Drosophila melanogaster: one gene and its partners. Changing the gene in region 1 together with any one later gene gives a genetic interaction. Each region holds a gene or a part of one and is shown in the gene's direction. Other genes may lie near its edges.

Evidence for each region.
Region 2: of sv (region 1) and Myc, changing one suppresses a phenotype caused by changing the other (phenotypic suppression), as found in Drosophila melanogaster (one study listed by BioGRID).
Region 3: of sv (region 1) and rg, changing one enhances a phenotype caused by changing the other (phenotypic enhancement), as found in Drosophila melanogaster (one study listed by BioGRID).
Region 4: of sv (region 1) and lz, changing one enhances a phenotype caused by changing the other (phenotypic enhancement), as found in Drosophila melanogaster (2 studies listed by BioGRID).

The regions. Positions count from the first base shown.
Region 1 is NC_004353.4:1,085,415-1,093,671, forward strand, and holds the start of sv (shaven), read left to right. Parts: upstream 1-3,383; 5' UTR 3,384-3,648; intron 3,649-6,844; 5' UTR 6,845-6,871; coding exon 6,872-7,214; intron 7,215-8,257.
Region 2 is NC_004354.4:3,369,512-3,377,910, forward strand, and holds the start of Myc (Myc), read left to right. Parts: upstream 1-3,647; 5' UTR 3,648-4,212; intron 4,213-5,428; exon of another isoform or gene 5,429-5,432; 5' UTR 5,433-5,494; coding exon 5,495-6,722; intron 6,723-8,399. UniProt on the Drosophila melanogaster protein: Participates in the regulation of gene transcription. Binds DNA in a non-specific manner, yet also specifically recognizes the core sequence CAC[GA]TG. Seems to activate the transcription of growth-related genes; required for cellular proliferation and growth.
Region 3 is NC_004354.4:5,081,606-5,090,214, forward strand, and holds the start of rg (rugose), read left to right. Parts: upstream 1-4,153; 5' UTR 4,154-4,596; intron 4,597-7,736; 5' UTR 7,737-8,381; coding exon 8,382-8,540; intron 8,541-8,609.
Region 4 is NC_004354.4:9,281,252-9,289,839, forward strand, and holds the start of lz (lozenge), read left to right. Parts: upstream 1-3,397; 5' UTR 3,398-3,485; intron 3,486-4,535; 5' UTR 4,536-4,669; coding exon 4,670-5,531; intron 5,532-7,080; coding exon 7,081-7,320; intron 7,321-8,588. Other genes in the region: c11.1, read right to left, coding at 1-136, 200-377, 1,542-1,698. UniProt on the Drosophila melanogaster protein: Involved in prepatterning photoreceptor precursors in the developing eye; in the larval eye disk it defines a subset of cells as an equipotential group that is competent to respond to the sevenless developmental signal and another subset that confer proper photoreceptor identity by positively regulating the homeo box gene Bar.

The DNA.
Region 1 (8,257 bases):
GCAAAAATGTTTTTTGCAGATCGATAGAAATTTACAAGATTATTAGTCTTGTATGAAAAAGTATGTATGAGAAAATATAAAAACATTTTTCAAAAGTGTGGACGTGGCAGTTTTGTGCAGTTTGTGGGCGTTAGATGAAATTATGAAAAACTATCCACAAATTGTTCAAAAATGTGGGCGTGCCAGTTTTGTGCGCTTTGTGGGCGTTAGAGTGGTCGTGTCAACATCTGTCAACAAACTTGCGCTGCGTCTATGTCGCTTGAATCTGTATGCTGATCTCAAGCTTTTACGTTTACGTACAGTACATGAGATTTCGAGTTCATTCGGAAAGACGGACGGTCGAACAGACGGTCGGACAGACGGTCGGACGGACACACGGATACACGGACATACGGACAAGGCCAGATCGATTCGGCTATTGATCCTGATCACACTTTATATGGTTGGAAACGCTTCCTTCTGGTTGTTACATACTTTCCAAATGTGAAATTCGAGTAAGTATTCTATTATTTTGCTGATTTTAGTTATGCAAATCGATATAAGGAAAAGCCCAGCAGATAATATTTCTTTATCCTTTACTTGTTAACAAAAAAAGGGTAAACCGTACTCTCTGAAGAATATTTAACAGAAAGAACAAAGAGGATGTATACGTAACTTCACCGGAATACCTACAATTATTGGCTACATTTACTTTTTACTTCCTTCGAAACGATTGCATCAAACTAGAAATAGAATACGAATATTTTGTTGTTGGTTGTTTTCATCATATACATACATGTACATAGACATAACAAATAAATAATTTACGTTTTGATACAAGCAAAAGCCTCGTAGGAGTTACTAGAATCTGGACGGATAACTTCAATTTTTTGATATCTATAGTTTTATAGGTTTTGACTTTTATAAAGATGGACCGACGGACAAGGGGACTGACTGGCATGTATCGGTCGTCTACGTTAGTGGCACGGGTTAAAAAACTTTATCCAAGACATTGTTTTAATTGGAAGAGTATATAAACCTTAGTTTGCCGATATCATGTTATTCTGGTTTTATGTGCTATCGACTTGTTAAAGCCCCTTCTGTCTGTATGTATTAACTTTCGGCTCCCGAAAATCTCCGGAAATAACTATATGTATTATTCCGGGAAAGAGTATACCAACAAAGTAAGTAGTATAAATAAATAGTACATAACATAATATATACAGCAGTAGCATTTCCAGTACCTAGCAGCCAAAAACAACCAAAAGAAACGGCGGAAAAGCTGTCTCGGTTGGCTTGCAGACCGTGAAAAGCCACGAGCCACGATTGAAATACCGAATTTCATACCAAAACATATGAATACCGATTGTTTATATCAAAAGCTACCAGGCGAATTCTACAAAAATATTTATATACTTACATATACACACATACACACATATGAACACAAATAGTTACCCACCGTTTAGCATGCGGAATAACCAAAGAAAAGCCTTCTAAATGAAAAGCTACTAAAAAAAATTTTCGAATATTTTTTTAGAGCTTATATTGGTCAGAATTCTTCATATAAATACATACATATATAATAACATAATAATAATATTTAAGATCATTGAACTTTTGCTAGTGACTTAACACCAGTTTTGGTACTAATGCACGAATTAACCACGTAAGGAGTATATATAAGCAGAAAGGAAAATTAACAGAGGCGCGATCGAAGGGTAGGTTTTTTCCGGTTCGGTCTAACAGGTGTTTCACAAATAAAGCGCGGGCAACCGTCCAAGACATTTCCTTCGATCGCAAAAGAATTCAAGGGATGACGGTAAATGAACACCTGAATATTCTGTTGTGTACACTACATAATTCTGTAACATATTATTATACCCGTTACTCGTAGAATAAAAGATAGATTCGTTGATAAGTATGTAACAGTTAGAAGAAAGCGTTTTCGACCATGTAAAGTATATATATCTTGATCAGGATCAATAGCCGAGTCGATCTGACCCTGTCCGCTTGTTGCTTCCAGAGACAAAGACGCACGGCAACGTCACTCTTTGATTTTTCAATATATTTAACAATATTTTGACATAAATGATAAAAGTTAAATCTTATTCTGATGTCTTTTCAGTCCCCTTTAAAGAGGACAAGTGGCTAGTAATATTGACTAAGTATGTTTATAAACTAATAGATTTCATAAATGAAAAAAAACTTTGTATTTGTATTTGTTTTTTTTATACGATAGTAACACCAGTCAGCTCTAAATTTTGAAACGGTTGAGTAATCTCTCTTCTCCCTTTCGTGTAGTTTGCAACGGTAGTCGAAGATTGCTTGGCACGCGCCGTCTTCTCTTTAATAGTTTGAGTACCAGCAGCCTGCTTTAGATCGTCGTTCAGGGATGCCAATTTAACTTTTTCTTGGTTTCACTACTCTGACGAAAATGTGGATTATTTTTGTATGCATGGAAGCATAGAAACAATATATGTATGTGTATATCATAAGGTAGTGCCGACTGTACTCCTAGTACACCTATGTATATTAAACGATTTATTTACAAACGTATATTACACATTTTCAAATATGTATGTATAAATATTTGTTCGCTTGTCAACCTGTAGAATGCAGGTCACTCAATGTAACAATACGCGATCCAGACGGTTAAAAGGGGGTTGATTACTTATGTATATAAACTGACTTAGCTTCCGTTCAACAAAATGTAGTTACTTCAAATTTAATACATAGTCTTGCGTTCACTTTTCGAGAGCCTGTTGTTAAATGCCAAAAGATAACACCTTTATATGTATCTAATAATAGGAATATTAAACCGGAACCAATAAATATAGGCCTTTAGTGGAAAACAATTAGACAAATATGGGTCAGCTGGACCTTAGGAAACTTTAAGCAGTCAGGACTGTAGGGTTATGAGATTGAGGTTTGACAGATATAAAAAAGAACGATCATAATCAGGGATATACCAAACGCTTCGAAGCGCTTTCTTCTTCCTTACAACGAATTTAGAATACCCATTTCCTATACGAGTAACGGGTATAAGCACTCCAACACTCTGATCATTAAGACCAAACAGGGGAAAACAAGAATACCATCTCATCCCTTCTCATTCAGTGACTTTAACTAATTTGTTCTCTTTCCTTTTCTCTATCACTCGTTCTGTTTGAAGCGGCGATCGTATTTCAAACCCAGCTTTTGCATCCGAACAACACGCTATGTCTCCCGATTAGTCGACCGCCAGTTGAGTGCGAATGTAGCCGACCAACCGTAAAGCCGCCTTGGGCCAAGTTTTGAGAGCGACTCAAACATATAAGCCATCATAAACACACTCAAAAAAGTGGTCGGCTGAGTTTGAGCGATGTAAACTGCTTCCGTCGTCCATTGCCATTCAACAATTTAGTTTCGCTCGAGATCTCTTGGCGTACGCTTCAAGATCCACCTGGAAATCGTGTTGCTTCGTGGATTTTTAGCCAACAGGTGGTTCGCGCTGTCTTTTTTACCTTTCAAGGCTTAGATTCCTTGACTCAGTGATGTTGTTAGTGTATAAATTCGTATTTGAACGTTTTCACTACCTTAACTGAGTGACGCTAAATAACTAATAATTTATTGAAATTCTTTAAAACAATTATATGTTAACCAATCTTTATAAAACGAAAATATTCAGTGAGTAAACTAATGCATAGTTTTAAATATATTAAGGTAAAAATAATTCCTTAATCATCCAAGTTATATAACATTAAACACTTAAGGCGCTTGAGCTCGGCTTTAAATATACTCCGAATTTGAACAGCTTATATTTACCCACGCTCCTGACCTTGGAATACTTGTTTTCTTTGTTTTCCTCGACTGTCTTAACTAAAAATTCTGGCTCCCCATAGCTATTATTCGGCTGGAGTGTGTGAAAATACAATTATTTTTCCCACTTTTAATTTTGTTGAATTGAATGAAGTATGGGTTTTATTCTGCCTGAATACCAGTTGGTAATGAAAATAACAAATTGTAGAAGCTCCAATGACCTCGTAACAGGACCGCTGTGCCCGACCGTGACTTTTAACTATATACTTCCAAATTCATTTAAAATTAATTTATAAAAAAAATTTAAAATTAATTAATTTTTTATTTATTATTATTATTATCAACAAGAAAATGTGTATATCGAATTCGAGCCCTTTATTCGAATTCGAACACAACAACAAAACTACAAAACTTGTACTACTAAACTTGTACTAACTAACTACTACCTGTTACTAATAGAGTAAAAGGGTACACCAGATTCGTTGAAAAGTTGAAAGGTAGATGGAAGTGTTTCCGACCATATAAAGTATATATATTCTTGATCAGAATCAATAGCCGAATCGATCTGACCTTGTCCGTATGTCCGTGTGTCCGTCTGACAGTCTGTCCGTCCGTATGAACGTCGAGATCTCAGGAACTACAAAAGCTAGAAGGTTGAGATTAAGCATACAGATTCTAGAGACATACACGCAGCACAAGGTATTGCCACGCCAACTGTTACGCCCAAAACTGCCACGCCATTGAAATATATTTTGAAATTTGTTCATATTTGTTTCCTAAATTTCTATCGATTTGCCATGCCCACTCTTACGCGTACAAACCGTTTAGAACTGCCACGCCCACATATTTGCAAAATGATATTTTTTCATATTTTCTTTAGTTTTTGTAAATTTATATCTACATTTTCTTTTTGCAACGCCCGCTGTTACGCCTACAAGCCGCCCAAGACTGCTACGACCACATTTTTGACCAAATTTTAAATTTTTTCTCATTTTTATCATTAAAAAAATAAGAAATGCGTTAGCTGAGTAACGGGTATCTGATAGTCGCGGAAGTCGACTGTAGGATTCTCTCTTGTTTTTTAAATTAATTTTCCTCGTGAATTATAAAAGCGGTGCAAGCTTGTTTCATACCTGTGCCACGCAGGCACTATATGTATTTTGATTTTTTATTGATTTTATTTTTTTGTCATTCTAATTTTTATCGACGAACCCCAAAATGTTCTCATAAAAAAATGGCTCCAATGTTATTAAACATTGCTGCTACTAGCTGATTAATAGGTATCTGATAGTCGGGGAACTCGACTTTAGCGCTCTTTCATTTTAGGCTATTTAGGAAACAATAAATGTAGAAAGAAAGCAGATGGCCTAAACGAACACATTTATTCCCATACCCATACACGTAGCTGACTCGATCATTTAGCTATATTGACCCTTAGGGGAGTGTCAGTCCCAAAAAGGTCAATTAACAACAGGTGAATAAGTGCTAGCAACCACGTTTGCGCGGGTTAAGGCTTCATTCGGCGGGAAGAAAGTGCACCTTGCCCTGGATAACAAGAGCGGATAGTGAAATAGTGAAATATATGTGTGCCATTGAAAGGTACGAATCACAAGAAAGATTGCTATAGTCAAGTTGGCCGACTATTAGATACCCGTTACGCAGCTAGTGGAAATGCCAAAGAGAAAATTTCATAAATTTTGGCTAAGCGATAAATATTGTGGAATAAAATTACTAAAAATTAAAAAAATGCTTATAAGTCTAAGCTCTTTGTTATAATAAAATTAATAAAATTATGAAAAAATATCCAAAAATTCTTCAAAAATGTAATCGAGGCAATTTTGTTTGTGGGCGTGGCAACAGGGGGGTATGTCTCTAGAATCTGTATGCTGAATCTCAACCTTCTAGCTTTTATAGTTCCTGAGATCTCGACGTTCATAGGGACAGACTGGCAAGGCCAGATCGGCTCGGCTATTGATCCTGATCAAGAATATATACACTATATATAGTCGGAGACGCTTCCTTCTGTCTGTTACACACTTTTCACAAAATCTTGTATACCCTTTCACTCTACGAGTAACGGGTATAAAAATATCATAATTTGGTCTGTTACTCGTAGAGTAAAATTAGTTGAAAAGTATGTAACAGGCAGAACGGATCGTTTCCTACCGTATGAAATACATACATTCTTGATCAGGATCAACAATCTGGCCATGGTCTGAACGCAGTGATCTAGGTAACTCTAATAGAAAGAAACGATTAAGATTAACAAGCAAATTTTAGAGCCACCTTCGCTGTATGATTTTTTTCCCAGCACTCACACTAGCTGAGTAACGAGTTTTTGATAGTCGAGGAAATCAACTTTAAAATTTCTAGTTATTCATAAATATGCCAAATCGGGATATACCATTTATATAAAAATACATTAATTTAGTTCATAGTTTCGCGTTTTCCATCATAAAATGCTCTTATTTGAATGTATCACTTTAAAACTTTCTTTATATATAGCTCGGTTGATTTAGTTCATTTATTAAAGCCATTACGTGTTGATTCGTTGAAAAGCAGAAGTGTTTTCGATCTTATAAAATATATATTCATAACTGTCTAGACGAGTCGATCTACAGATTCTAGTTGTAGTCATACGGCAAGATTATTTTAGATAATGAAGGCGTCCGCCACCCAACGCCTATAAACTTTCAGAAGCGTTATGACACATTAAAAAAAGAAAATTATTTTTTGTCATTTTACTAGTTGTGTTACCAAACATTTTGACTACGCCCACTCTATCACCCACAAACCGCGACGATAAGTGAAATATCTGATAGTCGAGCCATTCGACTATAGCATTTCCTGCTTGCCTTTAAAACAGTTTGAATGTCATTGCCGAATAAAATACATAACATTTGTTGTTAATTACACTTTAAGCAGAAGAATTTGATGAACTAACCAACAATTGTTTTGTGCAGACATATCCATTCCTTGCATAACTGCATAGGTCAACTGCTTTGGCTACGCTAATATCTCGTTGCTTTCATAATAAAAGAACCCACAATTTTCTGTATTCCAGGAACTTATACATTTTGTTGAATCTTTGATGCTTATAATGGATATACAGACATCGACACATCATATCCATGGGCTCGGAACACATGAGCTCCAACATCGTATTTTACATCCACACATTCTACATTCAACTCAAGAAGAAACCCTTAATACAAGTACAGGCCAGCTAGAGCACGATTCCCAACATCTGCAACAACATCACCTCACTCATCATCAGCAACAGGACGTTTCACCGACTTTGCACAATTTACAAAACACCCGCACTGGTGATAGCCTGAGCACTACTATTAATACAAATCAAAATCAACATGGTCATCAACATCTTTCCGGAAGTAACATGTATACCTCGTCTCAAATGGAAGATAAGTCAAAAGGTAACCAAAATACCATTGAAGAAGTCAAACTAATATCTTAATTTAATGCCTGATATCGGAGCTGCCCAGATCAGATCACTATATAATATAGGTGCTATATATAAGCTCTACTGTAAGATAAGATCTACTGTATTGTACAGCTGTACGTGAAACAATCGGAAAATATCAGTCGAATTAATGGAAATGAAATACTAGCTTCGTTTTTTGGATCATAAAACGTTCTAGTTCAGTATACAACAGTTTTTTGACAACATGGTATGTTATCCGTTTAAAATAAACAAAATATATATGAAAATATAAAACAGTAAATCATAGCTCATATCGGCTTTTCAACGCTAGCTCTCTTTCATGTTCAGATTTTTGTTTTAAAGCTGACGCATAAACCTTGAGTTTTGTACTGTAAACTTTTTAACTTTGAATTCTTAAGAACGAACGTTAAATAATTGATTTTATGACGAGAAATGCTTAGATTGATATATTCCTGTTTACTGTAACGATTAGACTAAAACAAAAGATTAAATTTTCATGCCATTAACATTTGTAGGGGATAAATGATGATCGGAGAAAGAAAAAGATGGTAATTCCAGTTGCAACCTTCCAAAACTAAAGAACAATAGCAATTGCAGAAAGAAGAGAAGGGAACATTTTAAACAAGTTCACAAGTGCAATGCACTTGGGCCGCGATTGAAAACCTTTTATATCCCCTTCCAAGATTTTGCTAGTGAATTCATATTCAAGTTGTATGAAAGCCTAAGGGACAAAAAATTAAAAGGTGTTTACTTCAAGTCACGGATTTTCGGTAAGGGGAAATTTACCATGTTCCCATTGGAATGCTCCACGATTTTCATCCCCGAGTTCTTAAACAACAAATAATATACACACATATGTTTTCCTTTTGTACACTAAAAAAAATTATAGAAATTTGTTCCTTTCCGTTATTTATGTTAAGATACAATTTAGTCATTCAGTTTGTTTTATAAAAATGTTGTATTTTTTCTAATTTTATTCCCCGATACCCAACGATATACCAGAAAAATAATGAA
Region 2 (8,399 bases), on another chromosome or scaffold:
CAGTGTTTCTGCAACAAAAAGAGGGGAAACTTAAAAAAAACTCACTCATTTCGTTCTGTGATACACTGTATATGAGGCTTTTGCTTTTGCATTGTTTTGATTTTTTTCAATCTAGTGTGCCGTTATAAAATCGCCACGCTGCACTTTTGTTTTGCCATTTACGCTCTTGGCGAATTTGTTGTGTGAGCATGTGAGTGTGTGTGTGTGTGTGTGTGAGCGCAACTGTACCGGCGTCTTCTTTCTTCGTCCTTTTTCTTTCGTGACGAAGCTTTTTGTTGTTTTTGCAGCTGCCGTTTTCGCCCTTTCTATTCACCTTCCAACATCTTATGTCTGTCTTCACACTTACATTCTAGGCGTATATTTGGAAGTGCACATGCAAAACGGCAAAAAAAATCGAGAGCGAAGATAAAGACGAAGAAGACAACGAAATAATTTGTAAGAAAAAAATGTGTAAATTAAAGCGGAAGAGTCGACGAATGGCATGTCGACCATATTTGTACAGAATAATTTTCATTTAAGTTGAGAGCAAATGGACTACAAAACCTGACACATATTAACTAAATGATACATACTTTATGAACCTATGTACTTATTTAACATTTAACATTAGCATTTAAAAATGGAATAAATACTTACACATACATATTCTATACTTCGACTGTGCTAGCTATTTGTGCTAAAATACTCGAGTTCTTGACCTCCTCAAATAAATTATAATTGAAGGTTTGCTTATGCGTTATCTTCTAATACGATTGGCGTCTAAATAGATGGATGGCGCCAAAAAGGGAATGACAAATAACATACAATTGTACGTACATATATACACATATACATATACACGCATGTACGGTACACCTTGCAAACGTTGAGTTTCTATGAATATTTGAATGAATATTTTTAGTATTTATGTAATGACATGAATCCATCCATACAATCAAAATACCTGTAAAACTTTCCTTATTGCGTATTATAATAAAAGTACCTACAATTCGAAATAACACTTAAAGAGAGGGTGTGATTTTTCGTCGCCTTAGATTTGAACGTATTTTTACGTTTTTGTAGTAAAATACCAATACATGGGTAACGTGAAAAAAAATAAGAAGTCGAAGATAGCGACATTGTTGCAAAAGAAAGACTAGTGCGCAATGCAATTTACGATTATTCGCCTTATCAATGGAAGGCGATCGTTTCTGGCCTACGGTGAGCATAACTGCAACTGCAAGGCCCCGGCATTATCGCAAAACAATTACGCCGGGTACACCTGTCGACGCTGGCGTCAAAGTTACATTGTTGCTGCACGTGTAGACCGTTAAATGCCGAGTCAAATGCGCCTGCGAATGGGATGAACCTCATTCTAGTACTAGTACTATCAATACACTCAATAAGGTTGTGCATACAACGTAACCTGCTAATGCTAATATGTATGTATGTACATATGTATATTTATGTACTTACATTTCACTTTCCTGAGTTGCTCCATTCTTTCTATATTTTCGATGTTTCCCATAACTGCCGGTTTATTCGATTTACTGCCAATGCATTGCATTTTTACGGCCAATTTTTTGAAAGCTTGCAAATTCTTGACAAACTAGATATGGAAACTCGGCAGCCACTTGCTGCCGTTATTTACGCAGTTGTTTTATCTCGCCATGCACACTTTCCATTTACCCGCGAAACAAAAAAAAAGTGCAGAAAATAGTTTAATACTATTACAAAAACAAGCAGCACACGCAAACATAAATTGCGCAAACATCGAAACACAAGAAATATTACTTATTGAAATCGAGAACTTGGACGGACAAAAGCTCGCAAATTGCGGGACCATTTCTTTTTGTCTGTGACGCAGTTGTACCCTGTAAAAGTGGAGCATATCGCTTTTTGCCAACGAATGGCTGTTTGTATGCTTATGGATACTAAAGCGGAATGTTGGAAGGTGAATTTTATTGGGCTGTTTGTGATTTCCATTGACAGAAGAATTAAACAATTTTTTTTTTTTTTTAATATGTCGCTTGTACAAACAATTAATTAAATGTGCAAATTGCAGAGTAGTTGGGCGAGTGTGCAGCGTGCATTTTTTTTTTGCTGGTTCGCCTCGTTGCGAAATCAAAACAAAGCGTGTGAAAGAGAGGGCAGATGCACGCGCCAAAAGCGCTATGTTGTGCACTAAAAGTTGTGGAAATGAAAATCAAAGCGAAACGTAACAAAATCGACGGGGTGTAGAAAGCGGGAGGAACTTTGCGTCGGAACCACCTGATGATTTAATACTCTCTAAAAGGGGCAAAATTCAAAATGCAGGTCCTTTCAAGTCGATTTTTAAAGGTTGATATATGTGTACATATGTACATATTTGTGCGATAAACATATGTACACATGCACAAATCATTATTTGTATGTAGTACACATACTATGTACATTGTATTTTACAAACAGTTATTAAGAAGTTTGTTGGAATGTGCATACATACATATGTATGTATGTATGTAGAGACGTATGCTTGTGCATGTTATATTCTATTTTTCATTCAAGGTCCCCTTGCTTCCTATCCGCCTTTACCTTATTACCCTTTTCTACTTCTTCCACAACTTCTTCTTTCCAAAGTTGTAATATTTTTGGCTGGTTTCTATTCTTTTCCCTTTCTTTTTACATTTCCTTGGCATCGTTTAATTCGTTAACAAAATGTTTGGCTCTTCTTTTGTTTCTACCATGCGGCCTAACTTTTCTATTATTGTTAAATGAATTCTGCATTGTTTACAAAGTTCACAAGTTCAATCAACTTGACAAAACGGAAAATGAAGTTGCGTGGCAGACAAAGAGGTGACAAAGGCACACACGCACATAAAAAAAAGTACGGTAAATGCATGCATAGATAAAGGAAAGGGCAAGAAGGAAATACGAAAGAAATGTAAGGCGCCAAAGCAAGAGGGAATGAACAACTTCTCGCAACTTCTACGCAAAAAGGAATAGAGCTTAAAATAAATCGATTTAAAAATAGGAAACATTTATGCGGCAATGAAGAATCCCAAATAATGCCACAGAAAAGCAATTGAAACCTGTAGTTTTATGTCGATTAACATTAACATAAATAAATGCGTATATTTATAAATTTAATTTCTATATTTTAATATACATACCGTAAGTAAATTAAGGAAATGAATAAAATTTTGTTTTGATTTCCAGTCAACTACACATTTTCGTATTGCATTTATTTCACAAAAACATTTTGAGCCAGTTCAAGTTAATTGTTTATGTTTTTATTTACGGAGCAATTTGCGATTTGTCTCAATTTTGTTTGCGCTCAATTATTGTAAACACCACTCAAAAATCTCACTCTCTTTCACTCAAAAAAAAAATACCGGCAAACTGATGCTGTTATGTGAACCAGTGTGCGGGAGAGGCAAAGAAACATTGATCATTTTAAATGCATTGCGTACTATTTGAAAACCTTCGAGTATTAACAAATCGTGATGAATCCAAATGTGATCTAAATGTGATCCAAATGTCAAAGAAGATTTTTGTTGAAGCTCCTATTCTCACCACTTAAAGCGAATTCCAGCAAAGAGAGCAGCAGTGAGCATGCGCAGTGAGAGCGCAGAGAGCGCGGCAGTCTGGTACGATAGAAATTTTATTTAAGCCACAGACAACATGAAACGGGCACTATTTCTGTGGCGTCGCGTGTTCAGTTCACCGCGGGTAATTCAGAGAATCGCTTTGTGGATTGGATTTTTGCCTGTTTTCCGCCCGATACAAAAAAAAAAAACCAAACGCTATATAAATAGTTCTGTAGTAAAACCTGAAGCAACACGTTTTAAAATATACAACTACTACTAACAACTGTCACAGCCAAGTTACAAAAGTGCTAAATCCCAGAAATAACCTAAGAGCCGACTTAAAACCGCGCAAATACATAAAAAAAAATCTTCTCCAAAGCAGAAACAAAAACTTGTGAAAAACTAGAATTAAAAAAAGATTTTTTAAAAAAAATCAGCTAGTGCAAAATAAACGGGAAGAATTTTTTTTTGTGTCCCTTTTTTTGGTGTTTTTTCTCCGTCTTTCCCCTTCTTTGACGCAAAAAAAAAAGTGCCCAACTTGCTGGCGGCACGGGAACGGGATAGAAATAGATATAGCCGAAAGCGACTGGAAAGCAAAGGAAGCTAACTAAATTGGATTACAATCAATTAAATAGAGACGGATACGGAAACTATGTTCAGCGAGGTGAGTGCAAAGATATATATATATAATATATATTATTTATCGGAACGCAACGACTTCAAAAATCGCGCCACTACGGGGAATTCAAAATAGAATTTCTGGGAAAGGTGAAATAGCTTAACTTTTAACGGTGCTCTCACACACAATGACAAATCAGTGATCATGGCCGCACAAATCGATACGAAATAACGGATTCTAGGAACTCAGAAGGAATGTTAAGAATCAAGTGCTTACAAGAAATTAAGAACAAAAAGTGAGACAATAGAAAAGTGGAAGTGGACGAATTTTGCAAAACAAAATTCTACAAAGTTCTTTATTGTTTTGTGAAATTCTTCTTAATGCTGGCAAGTATTAAAAACGCTTTGATGGCGTTGAAACGAGTTGGTAATGTTCGAAAATTCCAGAACTCTGGGGCTCCAAAGTAATTAAATAAAATGGTCCCAAAATTTTTACGAAAGTATTAAACTTTTTAAAGGAGAAATAAATCAATTAATTAAAAAAAGAAATAAATTAGCTTGATAAATTAAAAAAGAAATAAATTAGCTTGATAAATTAAAAAAGAAATAAATTAGCTTAATAAATTTAAAAAGATTTAAATAATAATTTAATAAATGTTGATATTCCAATTTTACTATGATTCTGAAATTCAATATATACCGGGTTGCGTTCGATTCTGCGAAAGACATGTACTGTTAGTTTTTGCTCGTACTTGTTTACCGGAATGCAACGGATTCTACGAAAAGGGAAAAGCACAGTAAGCTTTGCAGGTCTGCGTTTATCGGTAAAAGGACCGTTTATTTTTCAGTAACTGGAATTGGGTATTTGATATTTGGTTTTCCTTTTATGCCCTTGTTTATTTCATTAGTATATGTATTTTTTTTTTTTTTTTGCTATTGTCAAGAGCGCCAAGATTGACGATTTCGGGTTCAAATGGTTAATAGTGTATAAATGAAGCTATAAGCTAAATTTGCTTTTGATAACATTTGCTGAACCCTCGACATCGCCTGACGTCATTATAGGTGAAATCTGGCACAGTAGAACGTGACTTAATACAATAATAATATTAGGAGTTTAGTTACTCTTACATTATAGTTGAAATGTTGCAAAAATCCTTATGTTGAAGAAGTTTTCAAAAAGTGTGTTGCCGACATATTTATTTAATTAAGTTCAAATATAGAATCATACCTACAACGATTTCCGCCTTATCTATATTTTTCAGACAGGCATATAACTCAGGAACTTAAGATATATAGAAAGAAAAAAAAACCCAGACAACATAATCGCAATGGCCCTTTACCGCTCTGATCCGTATTCCATAATGGACGACCAACTTTTTTCAAATATTTCAATATTCGATATGGATAATGATCTGTACGATATGGACAAACTCCTTTCGTCGTCCACCATTCAGAGTGATCTCGAGAAGATCGAGGACATGGAAAGTGTATTTCAAGACTATGACTTAGAGGAGGATATGAAGCCAGAGATCCGCAACATCGACTGCATGTGGCCGGCGATGTCCAGCTGTTTGACCAGCGGTAACGGTAATGGAATAGAGAGCGGAAACAGTGCAGCCTCGTCGTACAGCGAAACCGGTGCCGTATCCCTGGCGATGGTTTCCGGCTCTACGAATCTCTACAGCGCGTATCAACGATCGCAGACGACAGATAACACCCAGTCAAATCAACAGCATGTCGTCAACAGTGCCGAGAACATGCCGGTGATCATCAAGAAGGAGCTCGCAGATCTGGACTACACGGTCTGTCAGAAGCGCCTCCGTTTGAGCGGCGGTGACAAGAAGTCACAGATCCAGGACGAGGTCCATTTAATACCGCCCGGCGGAAGTTTGCTCCGCAAGCGGAACAACCAGGACATTATCCGCAAATCGGGCGAATTGAGCGGCAGCGATAGCATAAAATACCAGAGACCAGACACACCTCACAGTCTTACCGACGAGGTGGCCGCCTCAGAGTTTAGACATAACGTCGACTTGCGTGCCTGCGTGATGGGCAGCAATAATATCTCGCTGACCGGCAATGATAGCGATGTCAACTACATTAAGCAAATCAGCAGGGAGCTTCAGAATACCGGCAAGGATCCGTTGCCGGTGCGTTACATCCCGCCGATCAACGATGTCCTCGATGTGCTCAACCAGCATTCCAATTCGACGGGTGGCCAACAGCAGTTGAACCAACAGCAACTGGACGAGCAACAACAGGCCATCGATATAGCCACTGGACGCAACACAGTGGATTCTCCGCCGACGACCGGCTCTGATAGTGACTCCGATGACGGTGAACCCCTCAACTTTGACCTGCGCCATCATCGCACTAGCAAAAGCGGCAGCAATGCCAGCATCACCACCAACAACAACAACAGCAACAACAAAAACAACAAATTGAAGAACAACAGCAACGGCATGCTGCACATGATGCACATCACCGATCACAGCTACACGCGCTGCAACGATATGGTGGACGATGGTCCCAATTTGGAGACCCCCTCAGATTCCGGTGAGTCAAATTTATATACTTTTCATATGCCCCATTTTCATCAATATTGGAAGCTTAAAGTCCGAATGTCTTACAAGAAATACAAAATGGTCTGGTCGTTGGATGCATGGCAAAACAGTAGAGATTAGTTAGATCCCTGGGGATGCATTAAAATTTAGTTTACGCCTGAGTCAGTCTAAAACGCCTACCAAAAGTGGCATACTAATTACAACGTCGTGGGGCGGCCGATTAGTTTACAACCGGCCACATGACCCCCCGCCCGCCCGCACATTCATCCATCCTTTGGGTGTTGCACATTCAACTAGTGTTCGCACTTCCGTTTCGTGTGGGTGCAGAGTAACGCCCAAACGCACAAGTACGCTGTATACCATAGGCAACCGGAAAATCGATTGGCGGAAAACGCCTACGTCAACAGCAAACGTAGTAAACTTGTTACGTTGCACAAAAAAAAAAAAACAATAAAAAAGAGAAGAAAAAACCCGCCCACGCGACGCCGGCGTCTGTCTGCGGTGGTTTTCCATTTCCCCCATTGATTTTTGTGCTTTTCGCTGCGATGTGCTTGTATGCTCAATGCTCTGAGCTCTTGCTCTGGACTTTCCTTTATGATTTTTCCCACTTGCCACCCACAATGGGGAAAATGTTGGCGCGGCGCGTGGCTTTCATGGCTCATTGTGTTTATTTGCTCCATGGCGTCATCCTCTCTCTTCCGAAAAACTTATCACCCGGGGGATGATGATGATGTTCTTGCGCAGAACTACGCCCAGAATAAAAAGAACCCATATATATATATATACTACATATATAATATATATATTTACATATATATATGTACTACAATTTCTCTCTTTTGGGCCAACACCCCAATTTACTTGGCTTTTCCTTTCCGGGCTGTTGTTGTGCGAATTTCAAGGATGTCTGGTCACTGGCCACGTGGCAGACAGCCCCAAAATTTTCCTACCTCCTTGGCGGCATTTTCTCTAACAACTCGTGTATGCGCCGAAAATACGGGATATTTGCCCGTGACTAGAAACAAGAATAAATCTTGCCCATCAAAAAAAGATTTATTATGCCATTAATAATGCAGAAAAAAAAGTAAAATATTGTACTTCTCAATAATTTAAGAGGGAAACTACATTAAAAAAAAGTCCAGCTAGAATACGTGTTTTTCATATCTATATTTTTATAGTACTCCTACCTACTTGTTTTATTTGTGCCGGCGAGTTCAATGTCTGGCTCTCTTTCTCTCTTTTTGGCGCGCAAATCGTTATCCATTGAGCAACCCTCGCAAGCTTACGTCACGTCAATCATCTTGATTTTTACTACGTCTTACGCTACAACTACAACTGCGCATGCAACTACGTGTGCATTTTCTACTACAATGACTACTACAACTACAACTACTACTACTACTACGCTATGGAGCCGGTGTGGGCGTAAGCTTTTTGCCGCCGCTCATTAAAAAAAATATATGGTAAATAATAGCGGGAAATCAAGAAGGGGCTAGAGGTGGGGCAATGCAAGGGATAAATTAAACTTGGATTATAAAATATTTACCAATAAAGCAAAAAGCAAGAGCAACAGCAAGAGCAAGAGCAAAAGCATTTAACTCGTGTTTCTGCTCCCGCTTTTTCTCTCTCGCTCGCCTGTCTTTAGTTTCTCTCTTGCAATTTGCCGAGT
Region 3 (8,609 bases), on another chromosome or scaffold:
CGAAGCTGCCATAATTAATAATTGTTGTATATTTTTCAAGTTGCCGCTTCCTCTTCGCCTTCTTCTTCTTCTCATAGATTTGCTGATGGGCTTCTTCTTCTGCTTTAGTTATTACATCTGTTTCTTCCTCCGTTTATTCTGTTCTCTTTCGAATGCCGCTTCTTCCTTGACTCGTATTATTATTACTATTATTCTTCGATTATACGATTGGAAAACACACACACACGCACACACACACACGTTCTTGTATTTTTGTTGTATTTTGTTTTGTTTTTCGTTTGCTCAACGCCTCGCTGTCGGCCTTTCCTTTATGTTCACATTTGGTTTTTTGGGCTGCACAAAAATTTTCCATTTCCTTGTCATGCGGTTTTCTGTGCTTTCCATGCGGCGACGCTGGCGTCGACGTCGCTGCTGGCTGCGCTGCTCCTGGCTGTCGTTGTTGTTTTAGCTTTTGTTGTTTCCTTGCTTGCTTTCCACATTTTAGTTAAAAATGTTTCTGCGCTGTTTTTTGTTGTTTGCTTCACGCACGCACACACACACACAGAAGTCGTTACATTTGCTCCTTTCCTTTTTGTTATTATTATTATTATTGATCTGCTCTCCTCTTTCGCATTTTGTGCAATTTGATTACTAACTGTAAGTGAGATGTAGAAAAATCAGGTAAATTATACACGTTTTTGCTGCTGTTAACAATTAAATGCGTTTTACGAAATCCGATTTTCCACCCACACTCACACACACACACCAGTGCGCGCCTTGGAAATAAAAACAAAAAATTAATTTTAGCTTTTCCCCCCACTCTCTCTCTCACCATCTCTCACACACACACACATTCACAGGTTTTTCACTTTTGCTCCATTTTTCTTTCGGTTTTTTTTGGGGAAGTCTCTCCTCTCCCTTGCTCACACTTTTTGACCTTTTCGATTGTTCTTCTTTTGCCTTTTTCTTTTGCCACTGCTGTTCGTTCCTTTGGTTTTATGTTGCGTTTATTAACTTGCTAATTGTTTAGTTCGTTTTATTGAATTTGTTTGCGTTATTTTTTTGCCATTTCTTTTTCGGTTTCGTTTTTTTTTTTGCAAGGCAGCAACAACAACGAACGACGAGACAATTAGCGGCTGCGCTGCTTCTTCTTCTTCTGCTGCTGCTTGCTCTCCTACTCTGATTCCTATTCTTCTTCTTCTTCGTCCGTGTTTCCCAGCCGATTTTTGCTCCCCCGCGAGTAGTTTTTCTTTGGCTTTCCCCCGTTCGCCTTTTGTTGTTGCCGTTTTCCACACACCCGCTTTACTTTTCACATCCGCAAGCTCGTTTTTCCCTTTCGCGCTGTTCTTCCACACTGTTCAATAATAACAAAAAAATATTTGCTTGTGTGTGAATTTTTGCCTCCCTGGGTCTTACTACGCTCGTGTGTGTGAGTTAGTGTTGCGCAGGGTTGCATTCGGCGGTCAGTGTTGGTAAACGAACGGGCGATGGCGCGCAATTTCGTGCAATATTCAAAAAGTTAATTGGTTTTCGGTTGGCCCGCACACAAAACAACGTTACTTTTATTTCGTTTTTCTTTTTGGTTCTTGTCCTACTCCGTTTCGCCTTTTTTTTTGCCTTTCTTACCCTTTTTAAACACCCACACAACTTCGTTCTCACTCACAACACAAAACCAAAATATACAGCAGGGGTCAATGAAATAGTATTATCAGGTACATCTTACTCAACATCTATTAATTTTTCCTTAAACAGATTATTTTTAAATAAGAAATGAAAAACAACATTTAATTATTATTATTAATTTAATAGGGGCTTAGTACACGCATTTTAAGATCATACTACAAGCGAGCATCTACTTTCAAAAGAAGGCCGTCTTAACGAATTCCCTATTCTCTCGGCCACAACTGTTCCTAAAAGGACTGCCAGAACTTGGAGCCCAAAAAGGGAGCACAAAAAGAGGACGTTGTTGGGCGGGGGAGCAGGGGGAGAGCTGACCTAACAAGCGGAAATACATAGGCACAAAAGAAATACGCCAAAAGGCAGTCGGCGTGAGCGAGAAGGATGGAAAATGGTCGAATTGCGCGAGAGCGAAAGAGGGGACGCTAGCGCGTCATACGTTGCACAGTGGAGCGAAATAGGTGATAATAAAACAACAAACTCATTAATATTACATTTAAAACATTAATTTAGTGCCTATGAGTTCACTGGAGCGTGAAAATTCGAAATTTGTTAGAACACCTAGTCTGCGCGTCCCACTGTGCGATGGGGCCCGCAGCGGGGGGCGACAAAAGGCGTGAGAGGTGGAGAAGCCGTTTTATTTCGACAGTTTCTGAATTGTGCTCTCTCTCACTCACTCACTCTCCTTCTCCATCTTGCTTCTCCCTTTTTTCGAGTGCTGCTCCTGGAAAGATGAGGAGCAAGAGGAAGAAAACATCATCACCTTGGAAGAAAAAAATTTTCAGTGGGAAATAATTCGCTTCGTTTTTTTTTTGGTCTTTTCATTTGGTGGGTAGTGGGTGGTTTTATTGCTCAGTGATTTTTCGCCGGGCGGCGACGGGTGGTGAAGTTTTTGGGGGTTGAAAGCACACACACACACACTAACGCAAACATCAGCAAAATAAAGGGCTAACAAGGGTTAAAAAATATCCGCACAACAAAATAATAGCAGATAAAAAAAAACTAAATGAAATTCACACACAAAGGCAGCTGGAATCCTCTCCCCCACACAACCACACACGCACACTCAAAGAAAAGAGAACTAGTTCTTTTGTTTTTCTCTTTTCGTAACTAGTGGATAACTACTTCCATGCCATACATCCATATATATAAATTTACATATTTATTTAATTGTTTATATTTTTTAGCTGGCGCCGCTCTCTTGCCCTCTCTCCATCACACATTATTCGCACTTCACGCGCACGCACACACACACACTCGCACATGCTCGACACGCACACTCCTTTCGCTTTTCCATCGGTTTTTACTCACACTTAACATCACATTTTCGTTTGTTTGCGGGGTGTGTGCAATGCAGTTGGTTTAGTTTATCAGTGGTTTTAGTTTGTTATGTTTTTTACAGTTGCTTTAATTGCGTTTTATCGCCTTTTTGTTTTGTTTTTTATTTTTTATGAAAGGTTGGTAATGTGACCAAAGCCTGATGCTTAGAGATGGAATAACTAAAGCGATACTGGCAACAGTCACTATCGATACTTTGTAGGTACATCGATACATCGAAAGGAGGTGCAATTGCCAAATATTTAAAACCTAAAACTAAAACTGAAAATACTAAAATACTTACTTGATGTCTGGGCACACTGAAACTGGGTTTTTGAATTTTTACCGGTTTTTTATACACAGAAACACGAAATGCCGCCGTTTTATAGCCGTTTTTCAATTAACCTGAATCAGTCTATTCGAACAATTAAATAACTTGACAATTGACGTTGGCAAAAATGTAAAAGTAATTCGCATTGTAGCTGATGTTATATGAATTTTACAATGCTTGGTTCTGTCATGCGATGAAATAATATCATTTTACATTCATTTAGAATCGACAAAGAACCATTCAAAACAGTATTCTCTTGTTCACTAGCTTATTTTTTCACATTCACATCACTTTTCGAACAGTTGTAAAATTTCGAAAAACTGTAATACACGCGCCCGGCAATAGGAAACCAAAATTTCCCTTCTATCAGCTGTTCTTAACTGAGAGAGCAAATTTGTCGCTCCGAAATAAAAATCGTTATCGGTTTCGGTTATTCTCGATTTAAAAAAAAAGCCAGTTTCTCTTGTAATTTTCACATTTTAGACATGCCAAGACAAACAATTTTTTAACACATTTATCAATAATCTCGATTTTATAAGTACATATTCCTATATATAAATTGTAGCTTAAACTTTAACCGTTTCCGACCGATTGACATTCAAAGTTATCGTATGTGGAAATGCTCAATAAAAAGTATTAGCTCTATTCCATCAAAAAATACGTTTCTTGCGAACAGTAGGAAATAGATAATTGTACTACTTTTATTTGCACGTGAACACTTCGCGAAAGCACAATAGATTTTTGTAAATGGCGGCATATCGATTAATCCATATCGCAGCTATCGCTATCGGAGCTCATTCGTTCAATTCAATTCCAATTCACTCTGTTTTTCGCAGCGCGCGCGGAAAGAACAGTAAGAGGAGCGGATAAGGCGAGAAGCCGAAAAACAGAGGACTGAAGCGAGAAAACCGAATCAAAAGGCACACAACGCTGACCAGAATCGTGAATTATACGAAAATAAGAATCCATAAAATGCGGAGGTGAAATACGTGAAATAATTCAATTAAATCATTTTTGCGGACAACACGGCGACCAAAATTAAATTAAATTCAAATAAAATAAAATTAAAAAAAAGAGAGAAATGGTTGTATATTGTTGTTACGTGAACGTTGCGCTTTTGAATTTATGAATCAATTCGTTATTGCCTCCCGCCGCGTCTTATTTTACTCATTTGTTTTTTTGCCACTTTTTTTTACTGTGTATGTGCGAAGACAACAACAATAATGGTAACAGAAGCAACAGCAACAACGGCCAAACATAAACAACAACAGTAAACACTCGAAGAAAACAACGTAAATATCAAGTTTTACGCTCTCCCAATTACGTTACGTTAAGATCATTTTTTTTTGTTGTTGTTGTGTGTTTTTGTGTGATTTTTTGAATATGCCTTTATTTTCGGTCCCTAAGTTCTCAACATTTACGCCTCCTGGGTTTCGGGTTCAATTTCGTTCGGCTCCACTGTTTAGTTAGTTGGTCCAATTAGCATTTCGGTGTCGCTGTGTGTTTGCTTATTGGAATATGACAAAATCCAACAAAGCGGTGCAAAATAATAAGATAAAAAAAAAAAATACGCAGCAGTGGCAAGAAGCAGAAAAAGCCGCAACGTAGCGAGAGAGAATTTCCTTCGCGTTTCATTGATTTTTCCCACTGAAAAGGTGAGAATAGCGTTGCGTTGAGTGGGAGAGCGAGAGGAACAGAGAGAGAGAGAGCGAGAGCGAGAGCGAGCATGGAAAGCCAGGAAAACAAAGGAAAAGGAAAAACTTGTCTCGGCGTGACTGCAATTCATAATTAGACGGCCGCCTGCTGCAATTGCAATAAAAACAAAGCCAAATACAAATACAAAAACCCAAAAACGGGTTACCGCTACCCGTCCGCCACCACCTCTCCGCCCCCATCCACGTAAAAAAACCACCACCAAAACCAAATTTTGTCTCTCTTTCGGCCACCAACAAAAAGTTGGGTAAAAAAAACAACGACAATACACAACAAAAACAACAAAGAGAGAACGTGGGCAAAACGACGGGAATTTAGTTGTAGTTTAGGCCGAAATTGAAAGACCCTACGTTTTCGAATGGTTTTAAAAGAATGATTTTAAACATATTTCGCGTTTTCTTCAAATACATTTTATTTGATTACTGCAATTAAAAGTTTAAAATGCTATTTGGTAAAATAATTATACACATTTTATGCATCAAATCGATGAAGGATATGGCTTAAAACATATCTAATGTAATTTAAACGTAAAAACTTAAGATTGTTGAAAATCCTATTGAAACAATCCGAGTAATGTCCGGATGAATATACACTTAAAACAATTTAAGACACATTCGTTTACCAACGCAGTGGCAGGAAGTTCAGTTGGCGGTTCCATGGATCTTTTTGATCGATTGAACGCGTGACTTTCATTTCCAACTGGCATTGCATCTTTATTTCGTAACGAAATTACCAACTTTTTCTCTCTCCCTCTCCATATCTCTCTCTCTCTCACACGCTGGCTCTCGCCATAAAAAAAAAAAAAAACAACTACAAAAAGTGGTAGCAGCTCAAAGCCAAAAAGCAAAGCAAATAAAACGCATGGAGACTCGCTCTCGCTATTGGAATTTTTTTTCTGTTGACGTGCAATTAGCAAAGTGGCCGCATTAACAAATCCGCAGTCAGAACTTCATATTAAATTAAAAAAAAAAAAACAAAAATTAAGAAATACAAAATAAAATCACCTGCTCTAGCTAAACAGCAGCAAAGTAATAAAGTAAAGAAAAAAGAACGAACTACAAACCAGCGGCTAGATTTTGAAAGAAAACAAAAGTTAATATCAAGAAAACCAGTCAACGTTGCTTTGCCCGTTTTTTTGCCACGCCGGTTTTTCTTCTTTGCCTGTTTACGTTGTTTCGTTTCGTTTCGTTACGAATTATTTCTTCACTTAAGTACTGCTTAAATGCATTAAATGCATATTGTAAAAAAGAGCTTATTCCCGTAGTGAAAGAATGTGCAACTGCATTTGTTGTAAGCCCCCCTTAAAACTCCCAACTTGCTACCAATTTTCCAACCCCCCACCTCCTTACCATAAGTATTACGTAATATTGGCAGCCATTTCCGGTATTTTAAAATGCATACATATGCATTTAGAGGGTTATTCCCAAAAGTCAGTCCACCGATTTTCACCTATCTCGAAATGGATTGCAAACAGAATGGTGCCTAATTGAATGTACCCGCCTTGTTGGGCACTTTTCCGATAATACCGCTCGCCCCCCCCCCCCCTCCCTTTCCGCCGCTCAAAGAGTTTTCTTTTAACACACAGCTGTGTTGCTTTTATGGGCCCATCCATCGCCAGCTGAATCAGAAGCACACCTTGTTCTTCAGGTGTGTCAGCTTATATATGTATGTACGTATGCTATTTTCTTTACTTTTTTTTTTTTTTTTTTAACTATCCCCGCTCAATGGTGTTTGCCGAGCAGTTTAGAACTTGGCTACCTCGCCGCTTTTCCCAGGCTTTTCCAGCACTTTGAGTAACCCGGCGGGTTAATAACCCCAGTCTTATCGCCAGTGCGTGACGAGCCGCGAAAACTATAGGTTCCCTATATGTAGTACATACATATGCGCATATATCTTTTATAGCCGAGCTAATGAAATCGATGATCGAGCAAGATTTTTCCAATATATAATAGCACTAACTATATAGCACTCTGCGACGTGGTATTACATAAATCTGATTCTGGATCGTGCCGGTAGTTAATGCAAGTCAAAAAAAAAAAAAAAAAAAAAAAAAAAACGAAAAAAAAACAGTAACAAATAAAACGAAAATTATAAATGCACATAAATTCCCCAGACAATTTTCCACTTTACTCTGTGAGCAGCCAAGAAGCGAATGAATAATGGAACGAAAATTTGCTCCATCAAGCACGTGTAGCCAAACGCCCCCCCCCCTTTTTCCCCTTCCTCACCCCGGAAAATGGGCGCTCGCTTTCCACGCCCCGGGAAAACCACTAGCCTGCAAAACCTGCTAACCGAGAAACCAAAAACATCACCCATGGCAGATCAAACGAATATTTCGAATATTGCTTTGTAGCTGGGCTACATATGTATATGTAAAATGGGAATTTAATTTAGTTTTTTACGTACCTACTCATTTTAATGTTGATAAGTCAAAACCAAAAGTACAGTGCGTTTCGTGTGCCTGAAAATTTAAATTAATCGTAGTGATAATGTAAATAGAAAGCATTGCATCGACTATGACGACCTAAGCGTATGAAACGCACTGTGCTCGCAAAATTGCCAGCGTTATTGCATTTCGTACTCATGTACCTGTTTCTCTTTCTCTCTCTTTTTTTTATGTATGTCACCACCACCACCACCACCACCACAACCACCAACCACACCAAAAATCACCAAAACCTCAATCAAAATAATGTATGACCAAAAAAAAACAAAAAAGTGTGCAATTCCAAATAAATAACCGAGTATTATTATATAAAAAATAATGCAAAATTTGTCAAGTGTCGACGGCCGAAGTTGCTCAATATGAGCCAAAAAAGTAGCAGCGACCACGACGGCAATTCAGCTGCCCCACAACAACAACAGCAACAGCAACAACAACAACAGCGACTGCAACTGCAACTGCAACAGCGAATGAAAATCGGAAGAGTGCAGCAACACAAATGATGCACATATGAATGAAAAGAGAAAATCAAAATAGCAAAAAGAAATCCAGCCAAAAGAAAAAAAATAATAATTTTTTCCTCCCCTCCAATTGCCTGGCAATATCTAATTGTTTATATAAATATATATATATATATATAGCATTACCATCTTCATATATATTTATTATATATATGTAAATGTATTATATATTTGTGTATCTGTGTGTGTATTTTCGTGTGCATTCCATCCATTAATTCTATAACTTAATCTATATAAAAAAAAAAAAAAAAAAACAAATTAAAAAAAAACAAACCAAAACCCAAACAAACAATCAAACCAAATCGCATGTGCAACGCGTAAAACAAATGAACAAATAATTTACAATTCACACACATCGTGCAACAAACACAACAATCTGAACCACAAACCGTGCACCAAAATGGCGGACATCATGCGTCCGCCGTACAGTGAGATCAAACGGCCGGACGAAATCGTCAGAATGACAACCGCCGACAATCTCAAGTTCGCCGTCCTCATTGGCCTCATCGAGGTTGGCCAGGTGACCAACCGGGAGGTGGTCAACACCGTTCTGCATTTGGTAAGTGCTAGTTACAGCCAATTAGCCGAAAAGGCCACACACACATATTTCCAACAGGTTTTTATCGCG
Region 4 (8,588 bases), on another chromosome or scaffold:
GATGCGCTGGGCGGGATTCTGTATGAGTGGCAAATGCTCGGGATTCTTGGTGAGCTCCTGCAGCGCAAGATCAATAAGTTTCTGATTTGCAGCCGGCGGCAGAGGAGTTTCCGCTCCCACCACGCGACGAATGCAGCTGAAATATAGAAAGGTAGGGATTAGAACAGCTTTTAATTGCTGATGTCAAAGGGAAACCTACTCCAACAACATGGCCACTGTTTGATCGGTCATCTTCGGCTGCTGCGATCGATGTTCGCTGAGGATCTCCGCAGCCCGTTCCGGATGGGTCTCCAAGATCTTCACGATCGCCTGCTGCATGGCAATCCGCACCTGCTCCTCCTTGTCCATCAGCCCATCGAAGATGTTGTGGAGAACGCCTGCAAAAGGGCAACAAATGTTTTAAATTTGATTTCTTAAATCAGATCATATGGAATATAATCCAAAATTTAGTTGGCTTGTGTTAAGTCAAAGCTAAGATATCGTTTAAAACAAATGACTAATTTCAGCTAGAGCTAGCAAATAGCAGAACAATGGACTACACTCAGTAACACGAGTAACTAGATCAAAGTCAAGTTAACACTACATAGAGCCGTATTTACATAAGGTGCACAAACTGCAAAGATAGCAGAAGTGGCAAAAACCACATTGATTCACGGATTTAAATGGATGATAGGTTGATTTCGAATTAAATTATATGAGCCATTTTACAACATTGAAAAATGCATACCCCTATTTCATTGAACACAACTGTGGGCACTTTCAGTACTTATATTCTGATAAGAATTCAAATTGTCTGACGCATTCGCATAAATTAAAGAGCTTCACATCATATAAGCATCTATCAATAAAATGAAAAAGGCTAGAAAATGGCAAAAACCAAACGAAATGCTGGAATCAGCTGATTGGGATGGTCAAAAATACACGTCATCCCAGAGATACAAAAGTCCAATTGGACTGGACAAGCGATACTCTAGAGGACTTTTCGCATTGCAATGTTATTTTTGTTCTTATTCCAACAATTAGCTGTAAAACAAAAAAAAACACACACTTACGCATGCAGATGATTAATCAAATCGAATTGAGTGCAATTTGTGGGTGTAATTGTGAAATGTTGTTGTATTGATTTGTCTTGCTCATAAACGTGTTCTAGATGATTTTTTAGGGCTTCACACACTCAACAGGTCCCCATAATACACACGTACATAGATACGAAAATAGAGTTATTTAGCTGCTCTCCTTTCGCTAAAAGGATTCCCCGTTACTTTTGGGCGCTCATGTGTGCGTTGTGCCTAATGCGTAGTTCTATTTTTAGAACAGGACAAAAGACTGCGCTTCGCCTAATCACAAATCCCAATTGGAGTGGGTGGGGTGGACGGGCAAAACGCCCATTTCACGCTAAATCGCTCTCAGCACTTGTGCTTGTGTGTGTGTGCGCTTTCTAATAAAAGATTCCATGGGTCCATCTTTATCTTTATCTTTATCTATGGGATTAGGCAGTGTTCCCTTTGTTTTCATTTTCATTTGCATTTTCGTTTGCTTACCTTCCAGAATCGTTGGCTTATCATTGGGCGCCGCTGTGGCGGTAGATGCATCGGCATTTCCAGTGGCGGCGCTATTTCCAGCAGCTGATTTGTTGTTGGCGGATCCTCCCCCTGTGGCAGCACCACTACCACCGCCGCCAACCCCTCGGCCGTCCATCTTCTTGGTGGAATTGCGCGTTCTCTTCCACTTCTCCAGCTTAACGGGATTTCAGACAGCGATTAACTTTAACGCGCACTTCGCGATCGCGGAAAAACTCGGAAAAACAAGAGATTCACTGCGTTGCGAAATTGTTTGTGTTTAAAACGGGTGGCTGCACTCACATAGGGGAAAAACGGCTGTGGAAATTTTAGTACGTTTTTTATCAACACCATGGACTAGTTGGGCTTCCGAACATGGTGTGTGCCCTCACTGTTCAGTGGTGGCGCAAACCATAGATGACCATAAAAATGAAATTCAAATGTACTGTGTATAAAATAATAGTTATGCATACAGTCTCGTTTTATTATACGGAATTAGCAATTAAGTAAATTTTAAATTTTAAGCTACACAGGCAGTACAGCATACTAATACAATATTAAAGGAAAAAACGCTTTTGAGGTAGTTTTGAAAGTATTTGAGAGCAATTGAAATGCTTAATTTTAATCACTTGATAGCACTTCTGAAATTAAATAGCATAGACATTTGATTTTCTCGCAATTTCTGCCCTCGCAGATAAGCTGACGTTCTTCTCACGCTATTATATTCCCAGCGATAAGAACTATTTCCCTTCGATGTGATAAGTCGGAGGTAAATTTAAAATAAACACTTTTTAAAATCATAAGAACTCTGCGTTGTTATTTTAATTCGATATCAGTATTTCGACCACAAACCAAGGCTGAACCACAAAATATGGCCCAATGATAGTCTCTTATCACGCCTTTCCTTCGCTAAAAAGAACACATGTCATTTGGAATCCTTGTTTTCTTTGCGCTAGCAACAACACACAGTTTTTAATTAACACTTTTTGCGATAATAGCAGATTTGATAAGCATGTTAAGTATCAGTTTTAAAGTAGATTCTCTGATTTTCATCTCTAATATCCAAAATGTATCTATATGAATACAATTTTCCATAAGTGCGTTTTAAATACATGTATGTTAAATTTTAAATAAAATAATAAAAAAAAAAACACAACTTATTTATTTTCTCATGAAAATCTAATCATATCCAGCTCCTAAATATTTTCGAAATTTCCCGGCTGAACAAGAGCGCCGCTCTTAAGTCGTCACGCTCTCAGCTGATTAAAGAGAGCGCGCTTAAATGCGATTCCAATTGGAAGTGGTTGCAGCCGGTGGTGGATGAAAATGTGTCCACCAATGGCGCGCCTCAAATGCCATGTCCACCTGACCAATCAGAATCCGGGGGCGGTGCCAAGTGCAAGGGAAACGCAGGAGCGAGCGAGAGGGAGAGCAACTGTTTATTTGATTAAGCATTTAAATTCTATTATTTTTAGCGAAATTTATTAAAAATTTGATGCAACAGCACTGCGTGGAATGGTGACTTGTCACAATGCACATACTAGGCCATGCATTTACAGAAGAGCAAGAGAGAGAGAGAGAGAGAGAGAGCGAGCAACTTAAGAGACCCAAAACGCCCCGGCCAAAGAGAGTCGTTCTCGTTCCAATTGGCTCGCGAGGCAAGTGGAAAAACGATTGGATTCGACTCAGAGCCGAGCTCAATCGTCTCGCGAAATTCAAGCGGCGCAGTCAAAAGTTAAAAGTCAGTTTCAGTTATGTTTTGGAGTACGACGCGCGAGCATTATTGTTTCCATTGTTAGCGAAGTTTTTAATCGACTGAAAGAAACACAAGAAAATAACACCTCGCTTACGTGTTAACCCTTTTTTTTTGTAACTTGTGCTTAAGTCACTTAAAGAAATACCGAAGAAAGTAAACTAAGTGTGTGTGTAAGTGTTAAACAAAGTAGTAAACAAAAAGCGCGCCAAAATCGGCTAACTTTTAGTTATTAACTCGAATTTCGTCACCAACTAAATTTAAACAAAAGAGCGACACAGTTTCGCCAGAAACTTGCATTCAAACATATTGTTAAACAGTTTTACATTAAACTAAACACAAACCAAAGTGCTATTAAGTGCAGTTAGTAACAAAATAAAAGTGATAAATGGTGACACAAACGAATTAAGGCAATGTTTTTATGACAAAAACTTAAGTTCATATTTTTTAAGGCTTTATTTTGCGACTGTGAAATAATTTGTTTACTTTGTTGCTTGTTCTCAAACAAATAATATACAATAGTAATTGTAAAAGCTTCTTATACATTGTTTGAATAAACAAATAACTGACTCTTTTACAACCATTTATGATTACTTGGGAGATCAGTTGTGAACATTAAATGTTTATATTGTACTATATTGTTTTTACACCGATTCCCAGAAATATCATCAAAGTTAAACTCGAGAAAAGGAGGCCCGTCTGCGAATCGGGAGTCAAACATAGAGTATTACTAATTAGCCGAGTGAAGTGCAAACAATAAAAATATCCAAATCAAACGAAATCAAATTTAATTAAGTTCAGAAATCATCTGGCAAAAGCATGCTCAAAAAAGAGAAAGAAAAAACAACAATAGCAACAAATGCACCGCTAATTCCTGTGACTAATTTATCAAAGTGCGAACTAGCAAAATGTCGATCGTCGTAGTACTCGCAGTTATTTAATATGTATTCAGAAAGGCAAACATATTTTTAATCATTTTTTAAATTTATATATATTGTTTTTTGCAATTATTTCTTTATTTAAACGTACGCCAGTGAACTGTTTCTATATGTACTTTAATTAAATTGCTTAATATGAAACAAATTTGAGATGTTGTCATGGATTGTTTTTAATGAATCGATCGGCATTTTAAGTTTTCAATTAAACACGAATCTTTCTCATATCGTAAGTGCAATTGCAAACAATTGTTAAGTACGCTTTTTTTTTTCTGTGAATTCGTTTAGAGATTAGAGTTTATTGATGAGTGAACAAAAGACACCGCCGGAGCGAAGTGTGATAAGCGCTTGACCTGCGACCCGCACACACTGCAAGAAAAAAAGGGGCAAGCGAGCGGATCAAAGGTCACCGCCGTCGACGAATGCATTTGCATCTCCTGGCGGCAGAGAAGACGCCTCCATCTCCATCTCCAAATCCAACTCCAACTCCATCAGCATCTCCATCTGGGCATACGGGCGCTGCTGGGGAGTCGCAATTGGACTTGGCATCGCAAACGGAATCGCAATTGCAGCTGGGCTTGCCATTGGCTTCCGGATACGGACTCGGACTCGGATTGGGACTGGGCTTGGGATTGGGACTGGGCCAGGAATTGGTGGCGGACCACAGCACCACTGTGGCGCCCGTCAGCGTTGCCGGTCCCGGCCGCCTGGGTCGCAGCATCAACGGCAGCGGCGGCAGCCACCACCATCACCACCTGCACCACCACTACTCACCGTACCACCACGCCCACCCCTACCACCCACCGCATCCGCACGCGCCCCACCACCACCACCACCACCACCCACCGTATCCGTATCCGCCGGCAGGACCACATCCGCCGGCCATGGTCACATCGTCATCCACATCGCCGACGGGCAACGGCTGGAGCAGCTCCACCGGCGACTTCAAGGGCATCACAGCGGTGGCGACGGCCACTGGCGGCGGCGTAGGTGGTGCCACCCAGGGCGCCACTGCATCCACGGGCGCCACAGCCGCTGAGGTTTTGGCCGTTTCGAGTAGTGCCAGTGTTGGCAGCAGCTCGCCCACAGGTGGCGCCAGCAATGGTACAGCCCATAGTGGGCATAGTGGACACACCGGCGGTCACAGCAGTAGTACCGCCAGCAACAACAACAACAACGGTGCCAGCAATAGCAATAGCAACAATAACAACGCCGTTCACCAGGATCTATTGTGGATGGAGCGATTGGTACAGAAGCGACAACAGGAACATCCCGGCGAATTGGGTGAGTTGTTGGTGGGATATTACCAATAACCTAGTAGTAACACAGTCTGCAAAAGGGTTAAGGATTAATAGCTACCTTAATGTCCTTCAAAATCAAAGTGAATATGAAGATATAGTCTAACTGGATTTGTAATTTCCCGTGAACAAAATTGATTGAACAGAGGGATTTAGCTTACTAACTGTAAATAGCAAATTCTTTGCTACCAGATTCCCAATATGATCTATGGTTCTTGATATAATATATCTTATGAATATAAGATTGATAGATAGATATATATATCAAGGCAAGCCTCTGCGGAGACAGCTCTTCCATTCACAAGGTATCAGCATCTTTAGCTCGTGTCGAGGGGATCTGGTGGATGCTTTGCAGGTCTGTTCGATAATCCGATCCCCGAAAGGTGGAGCGCACATTCTTGCCACATCCTTGCACAATGCACTTCTGGGGCTTCCACATCGTGGCAATCACGATCATCGGACGCAGCCTTATCGGATTCCATGGGTATGATGATCGTGATGATGATACCGATGGCGATGATGATGGTGATGCCAGTGAAGATGGGACTGGCATCGCCGTCGGAATATGCGTAAATTGATATCAATAATTGTTATTGATATCAACGCACGAGTCGTTCCCCTTTTTTATTTTGTTAATGCCACCTTTTTTTTTTTTTTCTTATTCCTTGCTGCCCGTTGAACTTTCCTCCCGATTTATCAATGATATCAATGACCCAGAGCGAAAGCTGCTAATGAAATCTCAGCTCATCGCACCGTCAGTCTTGAAATTAGCTGGGGAATCCGCAAACTGGTTATCCTATATGATTTTTTTTTTCACTTCTGAGTCCTTTCATAACTTGTGCTCAATGGATAGCCTTCATATCGAATTGCAACTATCAGGACTTTACACTCTTGTCTTAAAGTAATATTTATATTCCATTCCATTTGAGTTAGTATCGTACCTATGGGATTCAATCAGGATCTGGATGTGCCTAGTCTATTACAATTTATTATTACACAGTTTGGTTTTCAGGGCAGCGCACATTTGATTCCTGACACCTATGTAAAACATGATTTCCAAACCTACAGCGGTGTGACAAATTAAATTTAATGATTATCAGCAATTAGATGTCCATATTTCGGTCTATTTTGCGCGCCAGTCGCGAGTAAATAAATCATTTATTCAGCCAGCCCAGCTCTCCACACTTTGCTCTACTTTCGACACCAGGTCAACAGTCAAACGTCATCTGATAACCGATAACCCCTTCCGGTCCGGTCCGTTCGTTCCGTTCCGTTTGACATCTCCCCGCTCATTAATTAATTATGCACCGCCGGATGGCGAGTCGATGGTCGAAGGACCCAGTATCCAGCATCCTGCATCCAGTGTTCAGTATCCACGATGATTGATATTTATGGACCGACACGAAACTATAAATAATTGAATATTTTTGATGGCCGTGAAAATGTGATTTTAATCAGCGAACCCTTGGCTAATTAAAACCAAACTGATTTATCCTGATTTTTTTTTTTTTTTACCCACTTTCTTCATTTTCCAGTGCGCACGAGCAATCCGTACTTCCTGTGCTCCGCCCTGCCCGCCCATTGGCGCTCCAACAAGACGCTGCCGATGGCCTTCAAGGTCGTCGCTCTGGCGGAAGTGGGCGATGGCACCTATGTCACCATCCGGGCGGGAAACGATGAGAATTGCTGCGCGGAGCTGCGCAACTTCACCACCCAGATGAAGAACGACGTGGCCAAGTTCAATGATCTGCGTTTCGTGGGACGCAGCGGAAGAGGTGAGTTGCAGTGCTGTCCGAACGGTCACTTGGGAATTATAAGCTAAAATGGAGAGAAGAAGTGCAAACGGTAGGCGGTGTGAAAAAGAAAGGAGTTGGTAAACTAACTATCTTCTGTGAATCAGGATCAGATCAGGATAATATATAGTAATTTCTAATAACTGATGAAAATGATCTATATATAACTTATATACTTTATAGCACTTTATATCACCTTTGTGTTTTGGTTGACTATATAACATTTCTGAAAATTAAAGACTTCCTCGAGCACTGCAATCAGCACTTCCTTTGCCAAATGCCGATTATTGCGAGCCCAAAGAATGCTTCCCACAACTTCAAACGAGCGGAAGCTGTAGGTTTATCCTTTCAAACTTTCTTCAAATTACACTGAATGAAAATGATGCGTAATACGTTCAATTATGTATGCATAATTAACTTAATATGGCTTTAATTTCTAAAGACTTTTTTTTATTGAGAGTTACTTCTGTAACGCACACTTCATCATCAAGTATATGATGATAAAACTCTAACAAAATTTGTAACTTGAAGTATGAATTCATAACTTGCTATGTAACTTGCATGTAATATTTGGTTGGCAAATGCATTTTCTTTTTGTGCACCCGAAAATAGGTAATGAATGCATCGGAAGTGCATTGATTGAGTGACAAGCCAGAAGTTCTGGAGTGACTAATGCCGCCTGCGAAAAGGATCAATGGTACAGCAGTCGTCACATTAGGCAGCAAGTTGGCGCTGTCCTCGGGGCAACATGCCACATACAACATGCAATGTGCAACACAGCGTTGTTCCCAGCAGATCCCCGAACATCTCCATGTCGGACATGGTACATTGTACACGGGATATGGGATATGGTATATATGGGATATGGAAATGCGCTGGACAGGATCGGCTGGGCAGGCAGGCTGATCACGCAATGTTCCGAGCCTTTTTGGTTCTGGTAATCGATTTGAACCCACAATTAATGTGCATATGTATTGTGTTGCATAGAATTGGCAGCAGCAGTTGGCAGTTGGTTAATTAGCTGCAACTGTTGCCGCCGCTTTTGACCCTAAGTCAACCTCTGGCCAGGCGCACCACTTCCTCCTCCTCATCCTTCTCATCGTTGCAAACTGAAGGCTCGTGCCGCAAAAGGGCCAAGAAATTTATACTACATACGTATGTATGTATGTGTGTATGTGCATGTATAAAAAAATAAAAAAAAAAATAATTACAGCCATGGCAAAGGGCATGCAAATAACAAGCTAATGATG